Linked DNA regions of Caenorhabditis elegans. The protein of the gene in region 2 interacts with the protein of the main gene of each other region in a pairwise test. Each region holds a gene or a part of one and is shown on either strand. Other genes may lie near its edges. The genes, in order: stip-1 and insc-1.

The links.
Region 1: the proteins of insc-1 (region 2) and stip-1 interact in a two-hybrid assay, tested with the Caenorhabditis elegans proteins (one study listed by BioGRID).

What each region holds. Positions count from the first base shown.
Region 1 is NC_003280.10:10,340,636-10,356,746, reverse strand, and holds stip-1 (Septin and tuftelin-interacting protein 1 homolog), read left to right. Parts: upstream 1-6,741; coding exon 6,742-6,853; coding exon of another isoform or gene 6,854-6,858; intron 6,859-6,961; coding exon 6,962-7,025; intron 7,026-7,074; coding exon 7,075-7,551; intron 7,552-7,617; coding exon 7,618-8,405; intron 8,406-8,456; coding exon 8,457-9,019; intron 9,020-9,068; coding exon 9,069-9,192; intron 9,193-9,239; coding exon 9,240-9,604; 3' UTR 9,605-9,662; downstream 9,663-16,111. Other genes in the region: C07E3.3 (SH2 domain-containing protein), read left to right, coding at 1-2,720, 2,765-2,860, 2,909-2,989; C07E3.8 (DUF223 domain-containing protein), read right to left, coding at 3,494-3,782, 3,877-4,051, 4,200-4,306, 4,354-4,484; C07E3.9 (Phospholipase A2), read right to left, coding at 5,264-5,406, 5,452-5,527, 5,695-5,811, 5,860-5,985; C07E3.10 (uncharacterized protein), read right to left, coding at 9,898-10,098, 10,241-10,345; pro-2 (Nucleolar complex protein 2 homolog), read left to right, coding at 11,636-11,856, 11,902-12,184, 13,194-13,469, 13,529-13,639, 13,686-13,796, 14,591-14,782, 15,484-15,744, 15,796-16,023. UniProt on the Caenorhabditis elegans protein: May be involved in pre-mRNA splicing. Required for embryonic development and survival.
Region 2 is NC_003280.10:7,356,245-7,372,355, forward strand, and holds insc-1 (Protein inscuteable homologue C-terminal domain-containing protein), read left to right. Parts: upstream 1-2,668; coding exon 2,669-2,743; intron 2,744-2,954; coding exon 2,955-3,124; intron 3,125-3,709; coding exon 3,710-3,807; intron 3,808-3,852; coding exon 3,853-3,963; intron 3,964-4,342; coding exon 4,343-4,383; intron 4,384-4,496; coding exon 4,497-4,641; intron 4,642-4,693; coding exon 4,694-4,808; intron 4,809-4,860; coding exon 4,861-5,051; intron 5,052-5,098; coding exon 5,099-5,193; intron 5,194-5,238; coding exon 5,239-5,339; intron 5,340-5,387; coding exon 5,388-5,487; intron 5,488-5,538; coding exon 5,539-5,784; intron 5,785-5,865; coding exon 5,866-6,019; intron 6,020-6,066; coding exon 6,067-6,169; intron 6,170-6,479; coding exon 6,480-6,760; intron 6,761-6,808; coding exon 6,809-6,930; downstream 6,931-16,111. Other genes in the region: haf-2 (ABC-type antigen peptide transporter), read right to left, coding at 1-182; msra-1 (peptide-methionine (S)-S-oxide reductase), read right to left, coding at 7,033-7,407, 7,541-7,789; F43E2.6 (Ovule protein), read right to left, coding at 11,226-11,417, 11,938-12,060; F43E2.11 (Peptidylprolyl isomerase), read right to left, coding at 13,617-13,718, 13,766-13,872, 13,916-14,051.

The DNA.
Region 1 (16,111 bases), 3.0 Mb from region 2:
CTTATGGAGATACCCCTGAACCACCTAGAAGTACAACTTACTCGAAAGCTTCAAAGCTGAAAGAAACATCGGTAAAACCATACGCCACCTACTCAAGAGGTACTAAACTCCCAAAGTATGACGAAGTTCCCAGGAATACAATGTACTCCCGAGCTTCTGAAGCTTCAAAAACCTCTTCTCGAACTTCCTTAGCTTCAACATGTTCTCGAGCCTCGAAACTTCCAAAATATGATCAGATTCCTCGTAGCCCTAGTGTCCATAGTCTGTATTGTCGTATCCCAACCTATGATGAAGTCCCAGTCCAAAAAAGTCCACGTTCCATAACTCCAACGCCAATGAGCCACCGTGTCCGTATTCAAACATCTCCTCCAATCCCACCATCATCTAATAGTACCTATGTGATTCCTGTTAAAGTGGATCGTAGATCCGACAGTCCTCGAACAGTCATAATCCCATTCTCATCAAACTCAACTACAGCTCTCGACAAGGTTCCCCAAGAAACACCAATCTATCGTAGAATATCTAAACCCAGCCAGACTAAGCCAACCAACTCTCGCGTTTCTAGCATCCCTTTAAGTCAGTCGTATCATTCGATGGACAAAATTACGATGACCTCAGTCTATCGTACTACTGCTACAAATAATCTGAAACAAGAGCCCATAGTCATTCCTAGACCTACCTATCGTTATTCAAAAACTCCGCTTCAAAAAGAAATTCCGCCAGTCCCTCTTGAACGATCTGTGATCCGACAGCCTGAGTACAGTGATCCCGGAGACTCTAGAATCATAGTCATACCATTCTCAAATCAGAACAAAAAATATTCACCCCCTCCATCAAGAAGCAGTACTCCAATTTATCATACCAATCTTCAAAGAGATGTTCCAACGTCTCCCCTACCTAGAAGACCCCTCTACAGTCGACCACCGTCAACTATTAGTACTGCTTCATCGGTTGAATATATCCCTCGTGCTCCGGTACCTAGAAGACCACTATACGATAGACCTCCATCTACGATTAGTCCACCTCGTTCTCCCCCATCAGAGCTTTATTTAACTCCTCTTGAGCAGGAAGTTCAGCGGGCTCCATTGTCCAGGCGACCACTTTACAGTAGACCACCATCAACCGCCAGTGCTCCTCGTTCTCCACAACCAAAAATCTATTTAACTAGACTTCAGAAGGAGGTACCACATGTTCCGCTGTACTCATGCGTGGCAAGACCAAGACCAGTTTACAGTACACCTCCAGAAGAGCCTATTGTGATTCCTCGTGCAGTTAATCCACCTGTGTCTTCAACAATATATTTGACTCGACTTGAACCAGAAGTTCCTGGAACTCCACTACAGCACTACATTTATAGATCTCGCTCTTCATCCACCTATAGCGTTCCGCCAGTCGAGGAGGCTTCGACCCGAACAGTAGCTTCCCCATCTAGATACACTCCCCCTCCTTCTTCATCTCCAAAAATGCACCTAACTCATCTGGAGCGTGAAGTTCCTGGAACACCACTCAACCACTACATCTCCAGACCTAGATCTACCCCGATCTATAGTACTCCACCAGAGGATAGGAATGTAGTCTCCCCATCTAGATATACCCCTCCACCATCGGTAACAATGGCTGCAAAACTTCATCTAACCCCACTCCAACCTGAAGTTCCTAGTACTCCATTGCAGCATTATATTTCTAGATCCCGCGCTTCATCCGTCTATAATACCCCATCAGTAGATAGTACTTCAACGCGTAGCCTGGTGTCTCCATCTTCTGTTCGTATGCCTCCCAAGCTCCATTTGACTCGTCTTCAACAGGACGTTCCGTGGACCCCGTTTAAGGTGTCTAGGCCTAGGTCAACTCCAATATACAGTACCCCTCCTCTCGAAAAACCTATTTCCCGTACTCTTGTTACCCCGTCTAGACGCACTCCCCCTCAAAAGCTCCACCAGATTAGTCTTGATCAAGACATCCCGGGAACTCCCCTTCAGCATTATATCTATAGATCTAGATCAACATCAACCTACAGTATACCATTGTCTGACTATCCTCAACCATCGCCAACTCCGTCTAGTGTGATTATGAATGACGATTCTCCATATGAAGAGAAGCCGAAAAGTTATTTGGGTACCTACCCAAAAACTTACACCAGAATCATGCCAGAAAGACCACCAAAAATAATTTCCCCACCAGAACATCCGGTAACAGTCAGCAAATCTAAATCCACTCAAACTCTTGACCAAATGGTAGTTCTCCCACAACCAAAAACTCATCTCTACCCAGAAATCAGTTACCGTCGTCGTAGACCATTGAGTATACATGTCCCCGCAGAGTCCAAATCCTCCACCATAATTTCTATCTACAGTAACCCCATCGATGATGTTCCACCAACACATGTCTCCGAACTACACGCCGAGAAGCGAATGATCGTTGGAATCGATGACGAGTTGCAGCCAGAGAAGAACAACGTGACATACGTAACTGTAGCTACTGCTGCAATCGATAATGAACTACTTCATCGTCATCCAGAAGTTGGAAGACATCCAGTCTACGTGCTTCCAGCTCAAACAAGCTACGGAGCTTCTGCCAAAAGAAGATCGTCTGATGACGAGGCAAAGAATGTGTTGCCGCCACAGAACTGCACAGTGGAGCACTGTACACACGTGGCGGTTAATGATGGAAGTCCTGTAGTGATAAGAAAAAGAGCCAGTCAAGATTCCATCAGAGATAAGGTGAATAGTATTATTATCTTCAGTTAAATAAAGATATTCTTTAGGAAAACCGCCTAACAATTCCCATCAACGAGGACGACACGGAAAACGTCGGAGAGGGTACAAATTATCAAAATGTCTCGAAAAAGTGCTTTGAAGAGGTAACCAGAGATTCCTTGCTAATAACTAAAACTCTTTTTAATTTCCAGAGACTCCACTACGATTCGTACATGCCAACGCTTTCATTGAGACAACGTCCTGTTGTCAGCTTTTATGACAAGCTTCATTAACTGCATTGAATATTTTTCTGAAATTTTGAAAAATCCAAAAAAAAAGAATGGGGATAAGCATTAATGTAATTTATTCATTAATTGTCAATAATTAATTTTAAAATGCAAATAAATTTTTTAACCTTTTTTGGGATTAAAGAATGCATGATTGGAAATCAAAATTATGAAACTTCACTGATTCAACAAAATCTGGAACCGAATCTTGCTCTGATACTTGTCATTATTCATGGTAATCCTTAGTTTGTTTAACTCATCCAAGTCATTCTTCACAGCATCTTCATTTTCCAGAAGCTCCCACGGGTATTCTTTTGCGAGACCCAAAATTTCAGTAACAATGATTTATCACAAATTATATCGATTGCTAGATCAAGATTCTTTTCCTGAATACAAAGCTTTCGAATATCTTGAATATTCTCAATTTGGGAGAGTATTTTTATACTCATTTTCTTCGTTGGGAAACACTTTCGAAAATGTTTAACTTTATAATCATTGTTGCTCATTTCTTCAAGCATTTTTCCAGTCAAACTTAACTGAAGCTCCTCCATTGCATACGGGGAATCCTCGCAGGTTTTTAGAATCAATAACTGTAACCTCGTTTAATATGTTTTTTCCAACAACAACCAAATGCAGAGTCTTCACCTTCCACTTGGAAATCATCATAGCACTGAGAAATACTTTTGGGATTCCGGAAGAAGGGGCATTAATTGAGAGCGAATCAACTGTGATGGGCGCGTTTTTGAAGTTTACCAAAGTTGGACGGAATCGGTTTCCATACAATAAACAATCGATCGTGCTGTAAATGTTCAACTTATTCAGTTATCGACAGTTTTCCGCAAACTGCCAAGATTAGGAAGTTCCAACTTGTGTAGCATTTTCCAAAAACTTACAAGCTGGTTATTTCCAGTGATTCAAAATGATGAGGTTTTTCAAATGGGGTCTCGAATACACCTTCTTGTATTGGACCACACTTCTTGCAATGTTCTACAACACGTCTACACATCCCTCCACAATCTCCAAGTTTACAAATAGTACACATTCCAGTGTATTCTTCAACTTTATCGTCTGAAAAGCAGCATCAACATCTTTAACTTGTTCCTATAGAGTCAAACAGTTTCAAAAAGTTCCGATAAGCTTGCATGTTTCTGATAATTGTTGTTTTGAGCACAAAGATATGTATTCAAAATTGAAATTTTATAATAGTCAAACTCACAATCATATCCAATTAGACCAGCAACATGAAGTCCCTCGCAAGTATAATCTCTATCGATAGCTATATTCAACTTTCGGACAATAACACCAACCACATCTTTGAGAAAACTGGAAAATGAATTAGCATTGGAAACCAGTAGTTACTATAAACTTACAAAAAATAATGCCAAAGTTGGTAAATCTCTATCTTCCAATTGTTCACTCGAACTGTGCAGAACTTACACACATAATCATCGTCACATTCCCAGTCATGCAAATCGCTTTCCACTACATCGTGAAATATCATTTTGGAATGTTCGTTGCGGATTCAATAAAGCACTGCAGTGTTGAAGAAATTGTAAAGTTTGAAGATTTGATCTCAGAATTATCATATTCAAAAGTGTTTTCTACAAAACAATTTTTGGCAATTTCCAAAAAGTAGCCTCTGGATAGAATCATATAACACAACTCACTCTCAACTCCAGTAAATTCATCGAATTTTCGTTAAGACTTTCCAAAATTCTTTCGAGAATTATCCTATTCTCAAATATTCCTTGAAATTTTCAAATTAAAAGGAAAATCTATAAAGCTGTGAAACTCACGTAATTGTTAACTTTTTCAAGTTGGGACATTCTTTCGGTCTTAAAAGAAAAAAAAACAGAAATGAAGGTGGAAGGTACAAAAGACAGTCAATAAATGTCGTAGGATTATTCTCTTTGCAGGTAGTCCTGTCATTGATTTATGTCATTGAGAAACAGAAGGTGACACTTGACTAACAACAACCTGACGTAACATTGGAGCTACTTGAACACACCAAAAAAAAATTTATTGAGAAAAGACAAGAAATGGTATATAATTGTAATTTACTCATTAAGACTCTTTTTCAGTATTACATATATATGAACTCTTATGTCAACTTCAAGTATTAAAGGATTAAAGTATGTATTATAGAAATTAATATTAATCCAATTTATTCCAATGTTCCCATATTTATAAAAATCAATTCAATATTCTAAAAAACCAACTTTTTGGAAAAGTTCAAAACATGAAGTTTTTAAAGTACTTTCAAGTGAATTTAGATATTATTCAATGTTGGAAATGTTTCGTGATGGGAGCCCAAAGAGTTCTGTTGCATTTTGCTTTTTTCTCCGGCTTCGGGAATTTTTTCCAACACTCAACAACAATCTTATCACAATCACAAAGTGCCGCTTTGCATCCCATGTTTTTATCTGGAAAGCTTTTTAAATTATTCGGGCTCAAAAGAGCTTATATACCAGAACAAATTGCAGTGGAATTCATGCATGACCAGGAATAATCATCAACGTATTCGATTTCGACATCCATACAAACCTAAAAAAACACATTGAATAGTGTATCGTTACTTCCTGGAATTCATACTTCAAGGCGCACGGATTTACGTGCATCGGTCTCGCCACGATGTGCAGTTACAGTACTTCGTTGTCAGCGGGGCGAGACCCAAGTGTGTTAGATATTAAGTTTCTTTTTAAAAAAGTCACCTTATTATCGACAGCAGCATCATAGCACTTGTCATGGTGCATACAACACTCATCGATTCCATCGACAGGCTCATGAGATCCACCGATTCCACACCAGCATCCATAATTATTGTAGTGCTTTAATAGTTATTTCGCATCAAAAAAACTTTATTCAAAGGAACTTACCAATGCATTGTAGTGAAGTTCGCATTCAGCGACCTCCTCCAGGTTCCAGAGAGCCTTCAGTCTCGGATTGGTGCAATAGCAAGTCGTTGAAAGAGCGGCTAGAAACACTAGAAGTATGAAGTTCATCTGAAAATTCAAAAATATCGATGAAAAACTCCCGTTTGATGAAGTGAAAAATATCAAGATTTGAATTTCGCTCCAAAAGTCGCATGCCACTAAACAACATGCAGCCAAAATAACGGAGCATCGTAGTCTTTAATTTTATTTCGAATTTCGATTTTCTCTACATTTAATTTCGTTTTTTGTCTTAAAAAAGGCTAGGTATATTGATTTTTCTTATTTAAATGTTAGAACTTATTAATACTGATAAAATAAATACAAAATTGACGGTTTCCGGATGAATTTGCCATAAGAAAATCGTTTAAATTAACAAAGTTTAGGAAAATATGTGAAAATTGTTGTTTTTATCGATTTCGAAGTGTGTTTAATAACTTTGTGTGCTAATTAATGAAAATAAATAGGATTGGAATTTTAATTTGCTAATTTAGTTTTAACAATATGCAAAACATGAAAATTATATTATTCAATGAAAATTGTGATTTCTCAAAAAAATTTTTAATTTAAAACCAAGCAAAAAATTGAAAGTTAGTCTGGAATTTCGTCAAATGTTCAGACAAAGGAAACACGTGTTTAGATGACCGGAATGCCGTCAGAAAGTATAGGAAGAATGGGACAGCACGAGACCTGACAGTGTAAAAAATGATTCATTTCCTCCCTGGATTTATCTCTAATATCTCTGCGTCTTCCAATGAAAGATATCACTTTGATTTTTTGATTTTAAATCGACATTTCAAGAAAAAAACATAATTTCGTAATTTTCAGATGGAGGACGATGATGGACGTGAATCGTTCGAGATCAACGACATGGATCTCGAATACGCAATGAATCCAGGCGGCAGGCGACGGTTTCAGAATAAGGATCAGGCGACATATGGTGGGGTGAGATCATTGAAAAATGCGAACTTTTTGCGGAAATTTTTTGTTTTCTTGGAAGCTCCGCCGTTTTTATTAACATTGGGCAAACAAAATTGACATTTTTCAGGAGTCTTTGCACCTGACAGCGACGATGATGACGATGAACAAGGAACAAGCCGAGGGCCTTATAAGTAAGTTTTCTCCTTTAACTTTGTTTCAATAATTGATTTGTAATTACAGAAAACGATCAAAAATAAGTGCACCAATGAGCTTTGTGAGCGGAGGTATTCAACAAGGAAATAAAATCGACAAAGATGATCCAGCGTCTCTGAATTTGAATCTTGGAGGCGAGAAAAAGCCGAAAGAAGATGACGAAGGCTCCATTCAAATTGATTTCGATAAAAGAACAAAAAAAGCACCGAAACAGAACGGCGCCCAAGTTTTCGCAGGAATGCGCTCATCAGCTAATCATGGAGCGGCAGATATTAATCAATTCGGTAGCTGGATGAGAGGAGACGGAAATTCGAATAAAATCATGAAAATGATGCAGGCAATGGGTTATAAGCCAGGAGAAGGTCTCGGAGCACAAGGTCAAGGAATTGTGGAACCAGTTCAAGCTCAATTGAGAAAAGGAAGAGGAGCTGTTGGAGCTTATGGAAAAGAATCGACAGCTACTGGACCAAAGTTTGGAGAATCTGCAGCGGATGCACAGAAAAGGTAGGCAAAGGGTTGCTTGAAAAAATCAATTAAAAACAACGAAAAAATTAAATATTTATTTTTTAGAATGGCTCAAGAGGGAACATCATCTCGCCCCACAAATGATGATCAAGAGAAGAGTGGATTGAAAATAAAAGGAAGTTGGAAGAAATCTCAAACAGTGAAGACCAAATACAGAACAATCGAAGATGTGATGGAGGAAGGAATGTCAGCATCACGACCAGCTTCTCATCAACAATCACAGCAATACTCGAACATTAAAGTAATTGATATGACTGGAAAACAACAAAAAATCTACTCGGGTTATGATTCATTCTCTATGAAAACTCGATCCGAATACGATACTGTCGATGATGAAGAACGGACTGTTTTTGATGTGCCGGAATTGATTCATAATTTGAATTTACTTGTGGATCTTACTGAAGAAGGAATTCGAAGAAGCAATCAACAATTGATCAGTTTAAAGGATCAGACAACAGCTCTGGAATATGATCTACAACAAGTTCAGAAATCTCTTGGAACAGAAGAACAAGAAGCACAACATATAAAAGATGTATACGAGCTCATCGATGGATTCTCATCTAATCGTTCACCGTCCATGGAAGAGTGCCAAGAATTGTTCAGACGTCTGCGATCAGAATTCCCACATGAATATGAGTTGTATTCTCTTGAAACTGTTGCTATACCAACTGTTCTTCCACTAATTCAAAAGTATTTCGTTGCCTGGAAGCCGCTCGAGGATAAGAATTATGGTTGTGAACTCATCTCGACATGGAGGGATATTCTGGATGACAGTAAAAATGGAAGAAAGATGACATTTGGGCATAATAAAACAAAAGGAGATGAGATTAGAGGTAAGTCTATTAGTTTTATTTTACAAAGAAAAACAGACAATTTTATTTCAGCCTACGATCGTATCATCTGGGAAGGAATTCTTCCATCAATTCGCCGTGCCTGTCTTCAGTGGGATCCGAGCACACAAATGCACGAAATGATTGAACTCGTCGAACAATGGATACCTCTATTATCCGCATGGATTACTGAAAATATTCTGGAGCAACTGGTTGTTCCTAAAATTGCGGAACGAGTTAATCAATGGGATCCGATGACAGATGAAATTCCGATTCATGAATGGCTTGTGCCTTGGCTTGTACTTCTTGGAGATCGTATTCAAACAGTGATGCCTCCAATTCGACAGAAATTATCAAAAGCTCTGAAACTATGGGATCCAATGGATAGAAGTGCTCTTGAGACACTGAGACCATGGCAGAATGTTTGGTCAGCTGCAACATTTTCAGCCTTTATTGCACAAAATATTGTTCCGAAACTAGGTGTTGCATTGGATACGATGGAATTGAATCCAACGATGAATCCAGAATATCCTGAATGGACAGCTTGCATGGAATGGCTTGAATTTACACATCCTGATGCAATTGCTAATATTGTTACAAAGTATTTCTTCCCGAGGGTAAGTTGATTATTCATGTTCGTTTTTAAATATTACATTTTTTTTTCAGTTCTACAACTGCCTCTGTCTTTGGCTAGATAGTCCTGGTGTCGATTACAATGAAGTGAAGCGTTGGTATGGATCCTGGAAGGCTCGAATTCCACAAGTTCTTGTTAATTATCCAACTGTAAATGGTAAGTTCAAATATCTCGTTTTTAGAATCAAAATGTTTTTTTTTCAGAAAATCTTCGTCGCTCAATGATCGCAATAGGGCGATCCCTTCAAGGAGAGAAAGTCGGCGGACTCCAAGCCACTCCGATTGCTCCAATGGCTCCACCACCACCAATGGCACCACACTTTACTCAAGCTGCACCTGTTCAGAAACTGTCATTAAAAGAAATTATCGAGTACACAGCTGGAAAGAATGGATTCACATATCATCCACAAAAAGATCGATACAAAGACGGACGACAAGTATTTTGGTTCGGTGCACTTTCGATTTATCTCGATTCGGAAATGGTTTATGTGATGGATCCAATCGAATTTGTATGGCGACCTTCAGGGCTCAATGAGCTTATTCAAATGGCTCAAGGTGCACAAGGATAATCATTTTTAACATATCATATGATCTTGTTTAAACTTACGATAAAAGTTATTTTAATTTATTATTGTTTTAATTTTAACCTTGTCTATTCATTCCGTTAGATAACGGTTCATTATTTTATACTTTCTGCTTTGTATTTGTATTTTATAAAATTTATTGAAATTAAAAAAAAAACTGTAATATAGTATACTCGTAAAATTTTTACATTAAAAATCATCGGTTAATTTTTCGCAATTTCATAAAATTCTAATATTCTAATTGAATTTTCTAACCGATTAGAAAATAATGATTGAAGTTAACCGAATTGGCGAATCGCTGAGATCTGTGGAATATGCTGATCATCAAAATCGATTAATTTTCCGCCGTCATTCGTCGTAAAATTATTATTAGAACTTGTCGGGGAGTAGGCATTCAGTTTTTCACTTCTTGTAGTTATTGGAGTTTCAATCGAGACAGCTACTCTTTCTGACGGGAGTTGGACAATTGAGCGCGTCGGCTGAAAATCTAGATGAGAAAATTTTGGAAGCTTTTAAATTAAAAAAATAAGTTTTTACTAAAAATACTAAAAATTGTAATCTTTTCTGAATCGTAGAAACTAAATTTATCTCAAAAATCGAGAATTCTACAAGAAAACATACATTTTTCGGGAATAAATACCATACGAATAGTCCAACCACTACTCCGAAAACATGTAGAGATATTGAGATAATTGTGTGCGTTGTGTAGGATAATGTGACGAACATGAAATCTGAAAATTAGCAATTTTTCACATTTTGTATCAGTTTCTCAACTATAAAACAAAAACATAAAAGTCAAAAGCGATGGAAAGACTGTGAGCGAGAGATGAAGCCGACGGAATGAAGCGTAAAAGCTGTGGCGCACCACGGCTGCGCGGAAAGATTTTTCTCGTTTTTCTGATGTTGCTGACGGGCGACAGCCAGCAGCTTCTCCTTCCATTATCCTACAAGTGTCCAATTCATCCCGCAGAATGGCTTTTGTACCTATCTCCCGTCCGTTCTGGCTTATCGTACCGGGGACATTTATTGCGAAATGTAGAGGATTGTGTATGTGGTTTAGGAGTGGAACATTGAAGTAGCTAGCGGGAATTGTGGGATTATTTTAATTTTTATGAGATTCTCAATAGTTTAACTATTTAATTTCATCAAAAAATATCCTATTTATGGAATTTAATTTATGTCGAAAAAATATAGAAAATCACTAGATTTATCTGAAAATAACATTTTTTTCAGCCGAAACTTTTGAGAAAATGCAGAAAATTACCTTAAACTAAATGTTATTTTCAGATAAATCTAGTGACTTAAAAAAAATTATTTTTGACACAAATAGGAAATTAAAAATGTTAGAAAAACATGGTGCATTATGTCATTTTGTAGAATTGCAGAAACTATTATGATATTTTGACATCGAATGGAAAAATGGCAGCTAATCTAGCGAGCGATGAGACCGGTTCTCTATAGATTTTCAAGTGACCTTTCGGAACGAAGAAGTTCCAATCAAGCTACATACTAGATTCCTAGATTCTATAGACTTAGAATAATTAAATCAAAAACCTATCATGGATGAGAATAAGAAATAATGAAATCCTGCCTTGAATTAATATGCAAATGAGATGACTATACAGTCAGAGAATTATTCCTTCTTTGTTACGCGCGTTTCATCCGAATCTTTTTCCTGACTATGAGAAAGTCTCTTCGTTGACCGTAGTCTCTAGAGGTCTTGTGACCCCGATTCGGTCGCTTAAACAAAACACAAAAATACAGTAGTGGATTGAAAGTTCGCGGCTTTTCAAAAAGTGTTTTTGATCTTTATGTATCATAAATCGTGAAAAAAACGACTAAAAACGACTGCCGCAGAAAAAAAAGTTCGAAATTACCGTACTCTTAAAAAGCGAATATATTTTTGTAAGTCTGTGGAGGGTACTGTATTTTTAGCGCAAAATTTTGCGAGTGTACAACTGAATTATCATTTCGATATTAGAAAATCATGTATTTCCACAACATCATAATTTCAGGATGAAGCTTCTCAAAAAACCCGCGGGACTCAAAAAAAGAAAAGTTATTTCAAAACGAATCAAGATTGAAAAGAAGCCAAGTTCTGAGGACGAGGGAAGTTCAGATGAGGAGGTACCAAAATTGGATGGAGAAGGAAGTTTAGATGGATCTGAAGATGAAGATGATGGAACTGTGACTGTTGAGAAAGGAGGTGTGAAGAAGCATAAGTTGGATTTGGAAAAGTGAGAAATTGTCTTCGAGCTGGTAATAAAAATATATATTTTTAGACTGAAACAATCCGATCCCGAGTTTTTCAAGTTCCTTCAACAGGAAGATGCCGATCTATTGAATATGGAAGATGATGGGGATGACGATGAAGATGACGATGAGGATGATGAAGATGAAGAGGAAGAGGAAAGTGATGATGATGAGGATGATGAGGAGGATGACGACAAGACAAAGATTAAGAAGATCCGAAAACCAAAGATTAAAAGTGACAATTCTGGACGTCTTATCGTGGATTCAAATGTTTACTCTTACCTTCAACAAGTTCTCGTTTTGGATGATGAGGTAATTTATATTATCGAGACGGAAAACTTTACTTACTTTGATACTTTGATGTCCGTTGGGTTCAAGTTGCGAGGCAACTGCGGACAAACTCGAAAAAATATATTTGTTTAGTTGAGAAAACAATTAAAAACGCATACATTTTTTTAAAAACGTAAATTTTGAAGTAAATGATTTTTTAAAAAATTTTAAAAACCTGATACTAAATGATTAGCAGACCCAAGCTGTGACTAAATATTGGTTTTTAGAAATTTTTCATCGATTTTTCGTATTTTAGTTGAAAATATATTCATTTATTCAACAAAAAAAAAACAATTAAAATCACATAATTAATAAGAAATCAGTAAAAAATACTATAAAAAATCAATGAAAATTACAGTAACTAGAGTTTGAAACTACAGTACTCTTTAAATGCGCACACGAGTTTGCATTTAACTAAAATTATGTCGTGTCGAGACCGGGTACCGTATACTTTTAGCATAAAACGAAATATTTCGCGTTTGGGAAATATGGTTGTACCAGAAAAAAACGTTATCGAAAAAAAAAGGTTTTTCGCCAAAAATCACGAAAGAAGCAAAAAAGGAAATTTTGAAGTTTGGAATGTTTTTTTTTTGAAAAAAGTGTGAAAATTAAAAATTTTGTGTTTTCAGTGAGCGACAGGCGGTTTTTTCTTTCGAAAAGTGAGAAAAAAACGTTTTTTTAAGCCAAAAACGTTGAAAAAGGCAAAAACGAAGCAAAATAGTCTAAGATTAAATATATTAAAAAAAAAAAATTCATTTAAAATAGGGCTGAATCCGAAAAAAAAATTTCTCGAAGTCGACGGAAGCGAAAAAAACGGAAATTTTGATGTTGCGACTGTTTTTTTTTGAATAATATCAAGTGCAACTTTTTTTTAAAGTGTAAAATATTTTTTGGCAAAAAAATTTTTTTTAAAAAGTGATAATGAAGCAAAATAGTCTATGGCCATCGTGCGAGAATCCTATTCGAATTCCAACAAAATGAAATATTATAGACCTCCACACCCACCAATCCATCGGATGTTCGTATGGCTGTCGATGTTTTTGTCGCTTGTGTTGCTCGAGTTGGTGCAGACATTGAAGCTCCAAAATATGTCATTAATGAGCAATCAATCTTCGAAGCTGTTGTTCGAATGTGCTTTCAAGCAATGCCTGATATTCTAAAAAGATTATTGAAAGCGAAACCTGAAGGAGATAAAGTTTTGTTCTCGAAGACTGCAATCAAGAAATATCAGACATATGTTAGAACATATCTTCATGCAATGATTGTTGTAAGTGGCTGAAAACATCTGAAATTCTAAATTTTTGATTTAAATTCAAATATTTTCAGTTTCTCAACGAAGTTCAAACCACTGAAGTTCTCATTGCCACAATTAAAGCCATGACTCGGCTTGTCGATCTCTATGCTCATTTCTCCAGAATGTCTAAACTTTTGATTAAGGTAAGTCATTACAAGAAAATCATACTTTTAATTGATTTATTTTCAGGCGGTCGTCAGAATTTGGAGTCGCAAAACTCTGGAATGCAGACTTCCAGCCTTCGTTTGCATGAATCTTCTTGTCAAAAACTATCCGCAACACTTCGTGCCACTTTACAAGGTAATTCAATTTATTTTTTGTAAAAAATTTAAAAATTGATCTAATTAATCTAAACATAATCTAATTCAAAAGTTCGATTTTAAACGCTAAATCATGGAAAATTTCCCGCACAAAAGAGTGTGCACCTTTAAGGAGTACTGTACTTCTCTGTGTCTAGTTTTTCAGAATGTTTAAAATTTCCTCTTAAATCTAAAAAAAACAACATTTGGACAACGAGAAAATAATCGTTCAATATTCGAATTTTGAAAAAATTAGAAATTTTAGAAGTAAGAACTACAGTAATCTTTGAAGACGATAGGAAAAAATTGCGCTGAGATGATGATCAAAAATTCAAATTTTCGATTTTTCCGGAACATCGAAAAAAACGTTTGAAAATTAAAAAGCTACTTCAACATTTTAATGAGAAAAAAAATTTTCCTCTGGAAACAAAACAAGATTGCCAAAGTTTCGAGCGTTTTTCGAAATAAAGAAAAACTATTTTTTGAAATCTTGAAAATTTTTTCTGCAATACTGGAAATAATTTTTTTCGTTTATTTTTTAAAGAAAAATGACAAAATTATTCGCAGTATAGCAACTGAGCTATTAAAATGTGAAAATAATGTGCAAAAAATGTGCTTTCCTTTAAAAAAAATTTTAATGAAAAGCCGCGAAAAAAAAATATTTTTTTAATTGAAAAAATTTAAAATTTTTCGGTTTTCGATTTTCCAAAAACAAATTTGAAAATCAGTTTGAGAAAATTTTCGATCGCGTCGAGACCAGGTACCGGGTTTTCGCAACTATACAAACTCACACAGACCGCCTATGTTGCATTTGTTGCAAACTCGAAAATCGTCACCAACGAAACGTGGCCACTTCTTCAATTCATGCACCGAACATTTGCCGAGCTGACAATTTTGAATCCAGAGCAAGCTTATAAGTATGCATTTGTCTATATTCGTCAAACAGCTGTTCATCTTAGAAATGCAATGATTTCAAAAGGACGAAAGGTGAGAAGAAACACAGAAAACACTGAATCCTGAGAGGGTTGAAACCAGGGATGTGTGGATAACCGATTTTTTCGGCTAACGGCTAATTCGGCTAATCTCAGTCATTCAAATCGGCTAATTTTCGGCTAATTCGGAATTTGGTTAAACTTTTTTTGTCCATTCTGTTAATTCAAGTTTTGGGTTACTTTTTTCACTGTTATTGAGCAAATTCAGGGATGAACGACTGTTCAAATAGGAAAAAATCATACAAATTCACCACATTTTGTTTTCCAAAAAAATATGTTAGTTGAATTAGCCGAAATAGCCGATTGGCGAATTCGGCTAACATCAAAATCGGCTACGTATTAGCCGAACTGCCAAAAAGTCGGCTAACGGCTAATTCGGCTAATATTAGCCGAGTTAGCCGAATTAGCCGATCGGCTAATTCGGCTAAATCGGCTATTATCCGCACACCCCTGGTTGAAACCGAAAAAAAAGTTTTCTCCAAAAAAAAACGAAAAAAAATTGTTTCATGTTATTTTGAAAAGATTTAATATTTTGGTCAAAATTGCACTCTTTTTATAATTTCGAGTGTTATCAATTTATCAATTTTTCGGTTCCATTTTTTTCAAAAAATATCGAAAAATAATAAAGTTTTTGCCAAAACCACACAAAAAACCAAAACAAAAAATCTACAGCCCAAAAAAGAAACATTTTTTAAGGATTTGATCTTCTCCATCTACAATTGGCAGATGATGCAGTGTATGTACATGTGGGTACGAGTTATTGCTAAAGCTCATTCTGTGAACGGCGCTGAACAAATTGGAGAACTTGTCTATCCTCTCATTCAAGTTATCGTTGGAATTTTCAAGCTTTGCAATGCTCCAACTTTCCTACCACTCCGTCTTCATTGTTGTCAACTGCTCATTCAACTTCAAGCCAGTTGCACCAATTATATTCCGATTTTGCAGGTTTCTTGCGACGTAAGTTTTATTATTTTTTAACAAATTCTCACGGAAAAATAATAATTCCAGTGTCTGGAAGAATTGGCTCGTGAGTTGAAGTCGAAGCCAAAACCAGTAAAAGGAGCAGTCAAACTTCCGGATATCGAGTGTACTCTGAAATGTTCATCACAATTCTCAGATCTTCCACAGTGGCGAAAAGTCATCTCAGAACATGTGTTCAGAACTATGATGCAGTCTGCACATCTTTTGGCTAGTCAAGCCGCATTTCCGGACGTCGTTTTGCCGATCAATCATAGAGTCAGTTCATATTACTTATTCGCAAAATTTTGAGATTTTCGCGCAAAAAATAGTCTCGGCACGACAAATTGTTTTAAATTGATTTTTT
Region 2 (16,111 bases):
GAGAAGATTTGAAATTCGTATGGAGTTGTTGTGAAGTGATAAGGAAGGGAGAACGTGATGATGCCCAAAAATGAGTCATAATTGAACTTCCATCCTGGAGCAAAATACCCAAATGAGACGTTAGTGATAGCTGCATCAATTAGCATGTACAGGTATAACGACGTATTGATCCATCGGTGCATCTTAAAAAATTAAATCTAGAAATTTAACGCGATTCGAAAGAGGGAAAACGAAAATAAAAGAGCGATGTTTGCCTATTCACTCTCATAGGGAACGGCAAATGAACAAGACATCAGTATCAAAGACCAGAAACAGAAAATGGAGAAAAGCAAAAATATGGCATTTATAAAATGGGAGTTCTGAAATAAAATGTGATACACGAGACAATGGGCGGAGATTACGGCATGATTACGAAATATGAGGAAACACTAGGAATGACTCATGCACTAAATTATTGTTTTAACAAAAAGTCGATAATTATATTGAATTCTCAAAAATACTATAGAGATCAACTGTGCTTGTAAAACTTCAATAAATGTTGGTTTAGAATTTTAATTAATTCTTATCGGATAATAAAAATTTGGCTCAAATTCTCAATTTTTAGGTCCGGTCTTTATTTTAAATAGTTTTCCTAGAAACAAGGTTTGTGAAATAACAGAAAAATCTAGCAATTTTCTACGATAAAACTTGAAAACTAGAAAACGTAGCTTTTACATCTACAGTAAAATTCAGAAAAGTGCTTTGTCGATTTACGATAAACAACGCGACGAGTGTCATTTCGGAGTTTCGTTATTCAAGTTGCCTGTGCCCTCTACATCTTGTACACTGTCTCGCGTTCTGAAAAATTTCCAGGCCTAGAAAATGATTCAAGTGAAGCCTGAAATATAATCTTGATATTTTTCCAAAGATAATTGATACAATGTTCTTTTGTAAATAAATCCTTTTGTAATTTTCATATTATTCTAATGCTTTTTGGGGAAAGGTTTTCGGAAAAAAGGTTTCCGCATTCTAAAAATATTCCAGACAATCCCTATTTGATGAACAATTGGTGGTGGTGGGCGCAAAAATCCACTTGGAAATCAACCATATGTCACTCATCAACCCCACTGTTTTGTGACGTTTTGATGCGGAGCCAGAAGGAAAAGAGACACTCATTTATCTTTTTTATCATCAAGAAGCGGAGAATCACAGCGGGTTTTTTGGCTGATTTATATCCTCTATGAACCCACGAGATAGGTGTTATTCTCCCAAATCACACCGTTTATTGCCCTTTAAATTTTAATAGGTTTTAGAGAATTCTACAGTAGTCAGAAAAATACGTGTTGTTTAAACTTATTGTTAGAACAAAACGAAATTCTAGCTGTTCAGTGGAGGCACTCATCATAAAAAAAGTTAATTATCTTTGCAGGAACAGTAGACAAAAACTTATTAGCAATAACCTTTAGTTTCTTCTAGGAACAATTGTGTTTTAGTGTAATTAGGTTACCTGGGGGTATATATCATGTAGAATGAGCATTTTTCGCTTATAGAAATTTATTTGAAGAGTCTCTTCAAAATATACAAAAAAATTAGATTTCACTTCTAGAAGCTTCTGCCTAAACTTAAACATAATTTAAACTTTTAAATTAAAACTTCAAACTTTTTTAAACTTTGTTAAACTTGAAAATCACAGATTTTTTTAAAATTTGACCAAACTCCGGAGTTTAGGTCTGAGGTAGGCGCGTTTATCAAATCATACCTGAAGCTCTAGTAAATTTAAATCTATATATTCAACTGAAAAAGTTTATTGAAAAGTGTAGAAATTCAGCTTTGTGGCATGATTAAATCACCAGTTGGTATTTTGTTGGAAAAAAAATGTTTAGACACACTTTTGGTAAATTGCCAAAAAATGCCAAAACGTGTGATTTGAACACCATCTATAGCTTATAATATTTGCGTAAATATACATTTTTATTAGTCTTCCAAAGACGATATGACATTAATTTTCATTTTAACTCTAAAATTTTTTTCTGTTTTTAAATGTTCTGATACTTATAATATATTCAAGATTTTTTATAAATTAAAATTAAAGTCTGCACATCTTATCATATTATGTAGTACACAAATTGCTCCTGTGGGTGCTCATCTTGCTCTCTTTCTCTCTATTTCTGAGATATTGTGACCTCTACCCTTCCGCCTGCTTTGTAACTCACCAGCTGATTTGCATTCCCTCAAAACATGTCCAATGCATTCAACTAGACCGGAACCCAATTGGCATATTTGCTCCACAAATTTTTTGACATTTCGTTTTTTTTCGTTCAATCTTACTTCCGCCTGCCTCCCGCGTCCCACGTCGATTCATCTCTTCTCACTTGCCGCGCGCATGAACTGATCCCGAATAGAGAAGTCTATGTTTGTTTTGAGAAACTCATCATTTATCACCTTCACTTTTCTCTGTGTCTCTCTATTTCATACAATATTCACAAGGTCCCGATGGGCTTCCCACTTGGATATTATCGCGCATTGACAAGAAGAGACACACTTCTTACAACAATATCTTTATAAAATTATGAATATACTTGGAGCGTCCTAGTGAAAGTGACAACTAATAATTAGAACTGCTCGTTTCTTTCACTTTTCATTCTTTCTTTTCAATTTTTACTTTTTTCAGCTAAATGCTCATATAAACATGGCCCGATTGGCCCGATTCTGGGATTCCCTGGAAAACGAGAATTTATTCGATATAGTTCCACAACCTCCAAAGGTCTCAATTTATTGTTATTAAAATTTATAATAGAAAGAAATAAAAAAAAGAGACCCTTCTAAACTTTAGGCTTTACTTGAAAAATGCTTTCAAAAAATTATTGTTAACTGATACAAAGAAGCAATCTCTTGGAAATATTTTTGATGAGCTTGAAACATTGCAAAAATCAGAAATCAGATGAAAACTGTTTATTAATAAAAATTAATTTCAGTCTACTGTAACCCGGTTTCATCAGCAATGGCTCTCAAGTTTGGCAAATGCCCGAGACGACGAGCTCCAAACAATTTTATATGCAAAACCATTGCTTCCAACTCCGGAATCTATCGTACAATTACCCGATGAAGAATATTATGGAGCCAAGAAAATCTCGGTCGGCTACAGGTAAAGTGGTTGTTTGTTGTTCAATGCACAGGGAGTCGGGTTACCCGACTAGTTGCGGTCATTCAAATCATTTTGCTCTTCTTTTTCGCTTTACAAGCTTCTTCTTCTTTACTTTAATGAAATATTTTAGCAAAAATTTTGTAATTAATTTTTGTTGTGTTCCGCCAAGAAATTGGATGCGAACAGGTGTCATCTTGGCCGCCATCTTCAAATAATTAATGACTTTTCTCAAGTTGTTGAGCATGTCTCTTTCCGAGATTCTTTGTTACTTTCTATCAATATCTCTCGTCTCGTATAAAGTTCTTATATACAGAAGTTTGAGAAATAAGTTATTTTATCCACATTTTCTTTCAAGCTTCCAACTCCAAAAGTCAAATCAAAAAAGCAAACAGTAGCTATTGGTGCGAAAAGATATTTACCGCGCGGAATGGGAAAGAGATAGTTTGCAATTTGATCCGCATTAAGAATAAATTCATTATTTCATTCATTTGTAGTATTATTGATTACTTTCAAATCAATGGTTCTTCGGTAATTCAAATCATCAAAATTTTAAAATATATAAATTAATTGTTATTTTATTTTCAGCAAATCAATGTTATCAACTTCATTGGGCAATATATCAGCTCCTCCAAAACCTCAAAGGAGGATAGCAAGGCTACGAAGTGGAGCAAATGATTGTGCAGGTAGTAACAAAATGAAAATTACTTTATAAATGTTACAACTTTCAGCAAGTCTTCCTCAATTGTTGGAAAGGAATTCTATCGCTGAGATGATGAACAACAGTCTGAGTGACAAGTATAACTCAAGTAGCACTACTTTGTGCTCGTCCGTTCATGCTGGTAAATATTTTGTGGAGAATTTAAAAGTTGATAACGATAGTGAGAGAGCTAAAACACGTCAAATGCCCTTAAATTTTTCAGAAAGAAAGAAACTTGATACCTTGCAAAAATGAAATTATTCTGGATTTTAGGCAGTATCATTTTTTCAATTTTTGCGCAATACAATTTTAACGATTTTTTCTTGAATTCATCTGGACTAGATAGAAAACAATGCAACTTAAAAAAAGGAATCAAGAAACAAAAAGTTGACTCCCAACATAAATTTTATGAACTCTCTTTTCCTTAAACTTTCCCTAGAGCACTGGGAAAACTTGCGGCATAAAAATGCTTTCAAGTTTTGAACATTTCCGTCCTGTTTCTCAAACTCGAGTTTTTATAGAGTCTTGCCCAACGGACACCGAGGATGCAATAATTCGAAATGTGAGTTCACTTTCTTTTATTCCTTCGTTTTTTCTCGTTTTCTATCCCTTCACCACCCCTTAAATTTTATCTTAATTGCTTCGTTGATTGGCAACACATGTTGAACCATTCAGATCAAGTTGCCCGGCTTCCGAGGAAACATTTCACGAGCTCTGAGCCAAAAGAGCAACTCTCCATCTGGTTGTCGAACACCAACTCCTAAAACAGCGCCTCCGTCGTATGAACAGTTTCAGGTTTTGCGACGGAATTCTATGAAATGTGAGTAATTTTTATTTCGTTATCTTTTGCTGGAAAAATTGAATTTTTTCAGCTAGTGTGCAACCACAAAGAAATGGAATTTTGTCTCCGGCCCCACCAGTTCCAACTTCTTCAAGAGCAAACACAATAACTGTTAATGGAGCACATGTTCAACAGGCAATGAACAGGTACTAAATAATTATTTTTAACATTAAAGATAAAATAATTTTGCAATTACAGAATAGACATGAGCACTGACAGCGCAAATACAATTCTCCGATCTCCATACAGTACTCGTTCGGATAGCATCACAAGTGTCGACTCTGGACAATGTTCCGGAGATCAAATCGAACGAAGATCAAATTGTTCAACTCGACAAGAAAGTAAAGATGATGATGATACAGGGATGCCAAGCTATGCGAGAATGGCTAGTCAGTAGTCATTATTTGGAAATTGAATTTTTAAAGAGAAAATTCAGGTACAATGGATCATGTTCTCAGAACATCATCTGCTTTGTATACTCTTCTTTCTTCAGCTCTGGATCCAGCAACTTGCAGAGATTTGTTGGCAAAGGTATTTTGTGCATACTGAATTAAGTTACAAAAGTTAATATTTAAGTCTTCTGTGTTCATCCAACTGCTTGAATCATCTCCATGTACAAATTATCTTCCAAAGACTGAAATGGCTCGATTAAAAATGAATGTTCAAGAGTTACAAAAGTAAATCTATTATTGAAACAAATTAAATGTTACCTTACGTTTTTCCAGAAATCGAGATAAAGGAATAATTGACATGAATAATATGACAAACTTTTTTGCGATTCTTCTCAGAAAGTCTATAGAATCAGTACTTTTGGTGTTTGTGAGGGTAAGTTACTTTTAGTTTAACTATTCAATTCATTCAAATATTTAATTTCAGATAATATCCAAGAATCTATGTGAAAGTAATGGAAAAGATCGTCTGACACCTATTTGTTTAGAGCATCTTATTCATATTTGTTTATTTGGAGATGAACTTTGTATTGAAGCAATTCAAAAAGGATGCATCTCATCAGTTATTCGAATTATGAAGAATGATCAACCACAGGAGAACACTCTTAGATTTTTACTTCGAACATTGGCAGTGTTATGTGGAGTTTCAAAAGGAGCACTTGCTTTGCTCACGGTAATTAGATATATTTTATAATCAATACTTTTCAATACAAATTCAATACAAATTCAATCAATACAAATTGATTAATTTCAGCAAGGAGGCTTGGATTTGGTTATTGATAGACTTTTATCCATTTCCTCATCAATCTGTTCCGTCGAGGCAGCTGGTATTCTGACACAACTTACCAATCCTCAGTCTGCATTCATTCGGTTAAATCATGTGGAACCAATTATATCCAGACTTTTGGGTAACCAATTTAAATATAAAAATTGGAGACTAAATAATTAATTTCAGATCTAATAGATCAATGTAAATCAGGTGACTCTTTGCTTTTGGCAACCGCTGCATTGAACAATGTGACACTTCAGAACCCAAATGGAGTTGATATTATGTACAGGTTTGTTGAATTTTAAGCATTTAACTATTTTCGCAAAAGCTCAGTACAAAATTAAATTTGAACCAACATTAAATTGAGCTATAGCACGTAATTGTAGAAAATGAATGCAAAATTTCAAGGCGAATTCCTTGTTCTAACTTTTGTAGCAATTGCTACAAGTTACCTAGAAACTACAAAACGGTAAACCAGCCTACCAGATAAAACTGAAAACAGTCTCGAATTTAAAAAAAAATCTGAAAATTTATAGGATCGCTCTCTATTTTGGGATTTTGAAAAGTTTTTTGCAACATGTAAATGTAAATATTTTCAGAAATAATTCAATTCGTCGTCTGATATCTGCTTATAATCGAGAAAATTGTGCCACTGTCTTCGTCCAGGAACAAATTGTTACAGCCTTTTCTCGCCTTGCCGCCCGTCATTTAGATCATCAAATGGTTGATCAAAATGCAATTCCAGTGCTTCTTGAATTTTTATCCCTTACCCATCCAATCCATGCGGATTACTGTAGAAGGATACGGTACAAAGCTGCTGTATGTATTGGTACTTTAGCTAACAGTGAAATTGGGCTCAAAGCCTTGTATGGTAATAATGGTGAGATTTTCAGAATTATTCAACGTTTCATATATGTTCAAGTTACAGCCTACGCAATTTTGAGCAATGTGCTTTATGATGACAACAACTCTTCAAATCCATTTAATATGATATGCAACAATATTCGCACAAAGTTGGAATCTAAATACCAATCTGAAAGTGCAGTATAATATTCAAATATCTTCCTTTGTTAAACAAACAAACACAAGAATCTGTGATAAAATAAAATTCATTGAAAACCTGATAAAAGTTCGATTGTACATTCATATAATTTAAGCATGACAGTTTCTTGGATCTCCTCCTGACAGAGCATAGTCCTTCACCTTATTGACAAAAGAATCCTTTAATCCGTACTCTTTTGCAAGACGCTCAAGATCGTGGAAGTCCTGGAAGCCAGCACAATATGCGTTCAATTTTGTGGCAAGTTCTCCTTCAGCAACTTGAGTATCAAGAAGAGACAGTTCATCGAAAAGAATCTTCTTTTGACGGAACCAATATTTTTGATGGTAATCTTCAGCTTGATAGAACTTGTCCAATGGCTCAATATATGTTTCAATGTCTCCATGCTTGTCCTTTGCTACTTTCAAAGTTTCTTCAGCGACTTTCTTTTGGTCGTCATTTACGTAGAGAATCGCAGATTGGTATTGCTGAAATTGAAACGAATTAATTTGAAGTTTAAATGTATTTTAACCTAAAAAATTATAATCAATTAGAACTTACTTTTTGTTACGTTTTCCAGTAGAACAATATTTGAAACTTTAAAGTCAATTCGAAAATTACCTTCTTTCTCCTTTCAGCTGGGTTGTGATGCTTCCAAAAGAAGTTGGTGAGCTTTGAGTATTCAATAACTTTTGGATCAAAAGTGATCTCTGTGATTTCAGTATGATCCTTGATATTCTTATAAGTAGGATTTGGTTGTTTTCCTCCAGCATATCCAACTCGTGTCACCACAACTCCTTTCAGCTTCGCCCATGCAGATTCTCCCCAGAAGCACTGAAGACCAAAATAGGCACGCTCCAAATAAGCCATGTTTCACCTGAAATTATATCGGATTGAAAAAGGTTTTGAGTTTATAAAGGAATTAAAAAATTAGTAAACAATGTAAAAACGTATGTTTCACAGTCAATTTATATACAAATCGGGGCGGAATCAAAATGTGATTCCTGTAAATTTTGCGATTACATCAGAAAGAGGAAAGAGACGCAGAGGGAATCGATGAAGAAGACAAGTAGAAAAGAAAACATACAATGTTAGACGCAGGCATATAGACACGACATGCTTTATCATCATTCTGCCAGCAGTGGTAGACGAAGAAAAAGCAGATGGCCAGTCAGAAATGATGACATAGATCGCTTTTTGGTAAAGATGTTTCTTTTGATGATATTGAGTACACGTTGGGTTCAATGGACAATAACTGAGCTTTTCCATGAACTTTCTTTTGATCAAAATAGTTTCTAATTTTAGGCCCTGTATTTTTCGTTAGAAATTGCAAAATGTTCAATGTACAAATGAATAAGTTATACCTAGTTGACGGAGCTCTTTCACTTGTGAGAACATTGAACTTTTCCTCGTCTTACAACAATCGTTTTTTTTTGTTTATTCGATTAGCTAAAAAACAATTAATCAAAAAACTATGAAAAATAAATGAAATTTCCGAAAGTTTGAACCTACAGTACTCATTAAAGGCGCACGCCTGTTCGTATTGTACAAAAATCTGTCGTGTCAAGACCGGGGTTGGCTCAAAAACCCTAAAACCTCGTGTCTGGTTAATAAAGGATATTTCCAGAAAAAAAGTGAAATGGAAACCTAAGTTATTTCTGAACTATTAAAATATAGTGTGCTCTTGGATCTTGATAATTTACTATGACTTCAGCAGCTTTATCTAATTCCATGTCTTCTTGTTTTCGCAATGTATTTTGTATTTCACGGATGGAACGTTGACGAAGATAATCTAGATTCGCTAGTTCAGCAGTTATATCATCAAGAACTTGCATTGCTGCAGCAAATGTTCAATGCACAAATGAATAAGTTATACCTATTTGACGGAATTCGTTCACTTGTGAGGATGGTAGTGGGGGTGGAGTAAGACTGGCTCAGTCTGAACGTTTTGACCTACTTGCAAGTTAGTTTTGAAGCTCAAAAATAATGTTGTTTTTACAGACAGTCATTTGGACTACAAATCCACTGTGACACCTGCTCAGACAAACGCTTAGTCGTCTAATTAGATTTCAACCGTATTCAACGAGATTTCAACCATATTTGTTTAGAAAATCCATATTGCATTATATTTGCTCCATATTAGATTAGAAATCCATGCTAGATTAGATTTCCTCCATATTTCATTAGAAAACAAATCTAATCCAATATGGTCGAAATCTAATTAGACTACTAAGCGTTTTTCTGAGTGTGCCCACAGTACATCACTATTGTTTTATTGAACCGTTGTAGAAGTATACTATAATTTTCTACAATTCAATAGTTAGGCAATACAACATTCTAAATTCTCATTAAAATAATACTTGCCAGCAAAAGTTGCAAGCCCAGGCTCGGTTTACCAAATAACTTCTTGAACTCACGAAATTGCGTATCTTCAAACTGGCGTATCTTGAAAAATAAACATCCAGGAAACAAATGTTCAACTAACAAAATGATTAGAAATATTTTTTATTTTTTCTGCATTACTTTTCAGTGCAAAATACCAATTATTTGTTACACAGAGTCATTTTACCAAAAACCACTAAAAATTTTGTCGATTGAGTTTCAGAAGTAAAATGTTAATGAATAATAATTGCAAGATATAAACTGATAAAATGTGGAAAAATATCTTGCAATTATTATTTATTAATGGGGTTATTCAAGTAATGTAGCAAAATGTATTTAAATACATTTGTGACGTCACTAATGTATTTAAATACATGTTTTTATATACTTGAATACAGTTGTGACGTAATTAATCTACACTTTTTAATTTTCCGACACTACTTGAATAACCCCATAAGTTTTGTTATCTAAAATTCAATGGATGTTGAATTATGAATGGTAGAGCAGAACAGTTCTCAAAAATTTCGATGGGTATTGGGAAAATTTATTTGAATCAGTGTAACTCAACAAATAACTGGTATCTTGCAATGAAACTAAATGCAAAAAAAAGAAAAAATATTTTTAAACATTTTTTTAGTTGAACATTTGCTTCATAGACGTGGATTTTTCAAGATACGCCAGTTTGAAGATACGCTACAAATGCCTAGTTAGGCTTGTTCGAAAGCTAGAAAAATTCTCTACACAATGGCAGGTTTAACTTCAGAAATTTATTAGTAGATACTGAAAATTATGGAAAATACCAAACTAACTATGTTTTACAATATTAGATAAACATTGAGAAAAATTGCTCAAAAAATCTGACCGACATTTCTGTTGACCAATGTGAAGAGAAAAAGTTGAAATTTTGAAAAATCTCAAAATTTTTATTCGAGTAAAAATTTATAGTTAGGGTTATTTCTTGTTTTCAGTGACAATTTTGAGAGCTTCTTGTACATGCCATACCGGGTGAACTTGAATTTTCGTTTTCATCGAATCTGGAATCATCGAGTAGTTCGAATCCGGCACTATGACTGCTTCATACAATCCGTCAATAGCCGCCTGGACTTTATCAAGAATTCCACCAACCTGAAAATAGGATCTTTCTCTCTCTTCTTTCCTTCTCTAGTACTAGTTTTTAAAACATACAAAAGAAAATGTGTTCAAAAAAGTTGGGGGTTTTCATAAAAATAAAGAACTTACTTCATAAACGAAACCGAAAACATCAAGAGAACCCGTGATGGCAAAACGGGGTGATATCTTAACTCCTGTGAAGAGAGCCAACAACCCAACCGCAGTCGCCAGGGTACCCGATGATCCATCCAATCGGCCATGATAGTAGAATTCGACAACAACTTGTCTATATTGCACCGGGAAGCCCATAGCAACTGCTTCGAAACGAGCGACTTGATACGCTAAATGCGACTTCCGTTCTATTTCTGGACCCATTTCACCTTGACTATGAACTTCGAACGAGTGTTCGTTGGAAATCTCATATCGGCATTCTGAAAAATATATGATCTTGTATCATCATTTTACTAGATATGAAGCGCTGTTTTATGTTTCTACATAGTAGATCTTTGGCAAGAAGAATCCCACTGGCCATGTCCATTTTGAGACATAATCACAAACTGGAGGAAAATTCAAATTTTCTAAGTAAAAATGCTCTGGAAACTTCTCGAAAATTCAAAGGAGTTCTAGAATGTGCTAGAACTTTCTTGTTCTCAATTTCGCAACTGCAACATTGTGTTTTGTAATACGATAACACAGGGGTTTTGGAGATATGAAGCTTTGAAAACTCACTGATAGTAAATATGTCGCCTCTTTTCCCCTTCTTTGGTTTCTTCTTTTTGGCTACGTCTTGAAAGCAAAGTCCGATCACGTGAGCTTACTTTGAAATTTTTTGATGTTTTGAAAGTGGGATGGGCATGAAGTTGTCCATTTTGTGATCAGAAACAGTCTTAGCTTGAGCCACATTTTGTTGCATAGCGTTAGTATCATTGCTGCCATTTGCCGATGTTTCTGAGATGTCTTCACAATTCTCATCGATTTCATTGGAGCGATCAGTCTCGTCGCCTACCTACAAAATTTGATAGTTTTAAAATATTTTTCCTCAACGTTCAACCCTTTATAAGATCTATGTTTGAGTACTGGTGCACTGTTAGCGGAGCACACTTTTATAAATTATGAACATTTTTGGAATGTTCGAAAAACTTTAAAACATTTCTGAGAATGTCAAGTGGAAGTTGCTGAAAGATTGTGGAAACGACTAAATTTTCTGAAAAATTCGAAAAAATTATAGTCTCTAGAACATTTTGATTGTTTTGAGGTGCACCGAGAATATATTTTTAAGGGTATAAGTACGCATAGGATATGATAGGATAGGATATGCATAGGATAGGGTATAATGGATATGATCTATGTTTGATAGAGTGCATTTGCAAAGATAACGGCCCTGCAGGCATTTTTGAAATAATTACAAAAATATAATTTTCCCACTCGTAGGTTATTCCCTTATTTATGATATCTCTTCGCACATATGAAAACTACTTTTTTCAAAACTTTTTATTCTTCAGATTTTATAAATCTATAGACCTTACTTGATTAATATCGTGATTACTCACATTTTCTTGCTCTGCCTGAGCGCTTTCTCTTTCAGCGTGTCTTCGGTTGTATCGGTTGTCTCGTTCCTCTTTTTGAATCTCCGCTTTGGTCTTGCCCATATTTCCCTGAAAAGAACATAATTTAAACTGTGTAATGAAATCTTCCCGCGCGGCGATTTCTTGTAAGCAGGGGTGAGCGGCCATCGGCGATCGCCGATCGCCGACAGGACGAAAAGGGTCGGCGATCGCCGATCGCCGAGTTCATTAGACGGCAATTTTTCTTTTGAAGAAAAACAAGAATTTGTATTCTTTTCATAATTAATAAGTTGCAAAATGCACTTATATAACCTCATAATGAACATTTAACACTTGAACAGTGCATTTTCTTTTGTAAAAATCTAAAGTGCAAGAAAATCGCCGAGCGGCGATCGCCGATTTTTTCAGATTTTCCGGTCGCCGATCGCCGAAGACAAAAATATTAACGGCAATCGCCGATCGCCGCGTTAAAAATTATTATCGGCGATCGGCGACAAAAAAAAACGTGTCGGCGATCGGCGATCGCCGATCGCCGATTTTTTTTCGATCGCCGCTCTCCCCTGCTTGTAAGCTCTCGTTTGTATGTAAACTCACTTTGTTAGTAAAATGCAAGTTGTCAATGTTTGATTAGTGTCAGTTTCTTTCGAAATGATTGAAATATCAATTCTGACAGACAATAATGGTAATCTTGATAAGGTTTTCCACGTCCAGGAGAACACGTTAGTTTTCTTGTTTTAGAAAAAATTGTGGTTGGCACGCTCACAACAGATACGTTGCTTTCTCAGGTCCTTTCTAGCTTCTCCTTCCGGAAGGAGAAGTCTTAATACACATTTCGAGATGTTTTTAATAAGAGAATGCGTCTTGTAGTACAATTAATATAGTTGCGAATCTCGCGCCTCTGTGGTGGATCGTTGGAGGAAGTTAATAAACGAATTTTGAAATGTCAGACGTTCGACTCGCCATGACACTCATGAGAAGGAAATATGTTTCGAAAACAATTACATTCTATCCTAATAATATTTTTCCCAATTTGTGTGAAAAATTGTGTTGTTATTCTCGTCAAAAGAAAATTAAATGGTATCACAAAATGATCAACGGGTAGGAGATCCTAAACTGATCCTATAAACCATAGTATAGTTTGGGGGAGCAAGTTGGGGGAATAAGTTTACAAATGGGAATAACATTTAAATGGGAAGCAAAGACTGATCGGTTTAGTTTCTCTGGCAGCAGCTTTAACGACCGGTTCCAAATGGAAAGATTGGAACGCAAAAATGCTTTGTTTGAAGCTCCAATAGACTTCAGCATATAGGGGTATCTCGGTGATTGAGCTGGAACTATTAACCAAAGTTTAACTTTGAAAAAGCCGAAAAAACTCGAAAATCACTCTCATCTCAAGACAGAAGCAAGCTGCAAGTGAATAATTAGGCTTGTTTGATAGATAAAAAAGGTCTCTACACACTGACATGTTGAACGGATAGCTTTGGGCACCAAATTCAAAAGTTAAGAGCCGGGGAGCTATTAACCAAAGTTTCCACGAAACTAGTGAAAAACCAGCTGAAACTGCTAAAGCTGGCGGATTTTTAACCGTTAACCTACTTTTTTTCCAAATTCGCCGAATTAGCTGTTAGCCGAAAAAACAGTTAGCCGCCCAACCCTGACCGTAATGTGAATTTTAGTGAAGTGCATAATGTCTGCTTCTTTCGTACATCTGTGTTTATATCGCCCATAACTTGTCCAAAAAACTGAAACAAATTCTGTCGTCAACTATTAACTACATATTCCCACTAACCTTCCACATGTATCCATCAACTGTTCCACCTATAATATGCACACAGATGGCAGAATCAAGACCTTTAAATAGAGTTGAAAACTTTTTTGCCTTGGAGAGTTGTTTCACTGAAACAAAGGTAATAAGATAAGGGGATCAGACTTTTCTTACTGTAACTTAAGATGTTCGGAAGAATTGCCATTTCTTCTCCAAAAAATATATATTTCCGGCCACAAGTTGTTGGGAAAGGCTCGTATCCAAACTGTATAAGTTCACGAACTACAGTAATCGGATGTACTGATGTCATTGCAACTAAAGTCTGAAATTCAGACTCTGAATTGGTGAATGGAATTAAAGTTTTCATCATGATAAGTTGTAAGTATTATTTTTGACGCTTCAGAGCTGAATGAATAAAATTGATGACTGATTTGACACCTAAATAAGTTCTTAACAAAACTCAAAATTCTCGGAAACTGACGAGTCGTGACGACATACAAAAATTCGATAAAATTTTGGAATTAACGTGCATCAGTCTCACCAATATCGTATAATATTTGAATTAATTTCAGTATTCTGAAAGCTCTTCCTACAGGCGCATGGATTTATTCTAAAAAGGTCTCACCGCGGGAAAAAGGTTTATGGTAGCACATTTTTTTCAAGTTTTTTTTAGCGGAATTTTCAATTATTTTTCAGTTTTTATTACGGTTTGTGTTAGTTAAAAGTATGTATTTTTGTTTATTCGATTAGCTAAAAAACAATTCATCGAAAAACTATGAAAAATTAATGAAATTTCCGAAAGTTTGAACCTACAGTACTCATTAAAGGCGCACGCCTGTTCGTATTGTACAAAAATCTGTCGTGTCAAGACCGGGGTTGGCTCAAAAACCCTAAAACCTCGTGTCTGGTTAATAAAGGATATTTCCAGAAAAAAGTGAAATGGAAACCTAAGTTATTTTTGAACTTTGAAAATATAGTGTGCTCTTGGATCTGGATAATTTACTATGACTTCAGCAGCTTTATCTAATTCCATGTTTTCTTGTTTTCGCAACGTATTTTGTATTTCATGAAAATTTCACGGATGGAACGTTGACGAAGATGATCTAGATTCGCTAGTTCAGCTGTTATATCATCAAGAACTTGCATTGTTGCAGCTGCAGCAACAGGCCTTTCAGGCACTCGAATGATAATTTCAGCTTGCTGCTGATTTATAAACCCAGCGCACATGAAATGAGCAACAAAGAACCCAGTGGATCCTTGCTTCAGGAAACAATCAATGTGAGCAGGCATATAAATGTGGAAGATTAGTTAGGTGAAAATGTGATTGTGCATTATTATGGAGTCTCTTGAGAAACGTAGCCAGAACAAAAGTGAAGGTGAGATGTAGAAAGTAGAACGACAAGCGTGGAGACGGAGAAAGGAGTCAATCGGATCGAAAGCTCTTCTTGTGAAGGCGTGGAGGCTTGCCTTGTTTCTATTTCCGTCTTTTCGTCTCTCGTCCCACTTTCAACAACACGTTACCGACAGAAACGAATAGAAAAAATGAGTGTCTCGGAAGAAAAGAAAGAAGCAGTCCATTGCAAGCCAATTGGAGAAGAGTCACTTTTAGACAGCGAAGAAGATTTTGATTTTACATCCTCACCCCACTAGCTAATCAGTTGCCTTATCTGAAAACAAAATTTGAAAAAGATTACACTCAAAATAAAAAAACAGCGTGGCGTGTACTGCAGAAAACCTCATATTTAGGCCCCGCCTTTTTCTCGTCCACTCACGGACGAAAAGGCAAAAATTTGGCTCAAGCTAAGACTGTTTCTGATCACAAAATGTACAACTTCATGCCCATCCCAATTTCAAAACATCAAAAAATTTCAAAGTAAGCTCACGTGATCGGACTTTGCTTTCAAGACGTAGCCAAAAAGAAGAAACCAAAGAAGGGGAAAAGAGGCGACATATTTACTATCAGTGAGTTTTCAAAGCTTCATATCTCCAAAACCCCTGTGTTATCGTATTACAAAACACAATGTTGCAGTTGCGAAATTGAGAACAAGAAAGTTCTAGCACATTCTAGAACTCCTTTGAATTTTCGAGAAGTTTCCAGAGCATTTTTACTTAGAAAATTTGAATTTTCCTCCAGTTTGTGATTATGTCTCAAAATGGACATGGCCAGTGGGATTCTTCTTGCCAAAGATCTACTATGTAGAAACATAAAACAGCGCTTCATATCTAGTAAAATGATGATACAAGATCATATATTTTTCAGAATGCCGATATGAGATTTCCAACGAACACTCGTTCGAAGTTCATAGTCAAGGTGAAATGGGTCCAGAAATAGAACGGAAGTCGCATTTAGCGTATCAAGTCGCTCGTTTC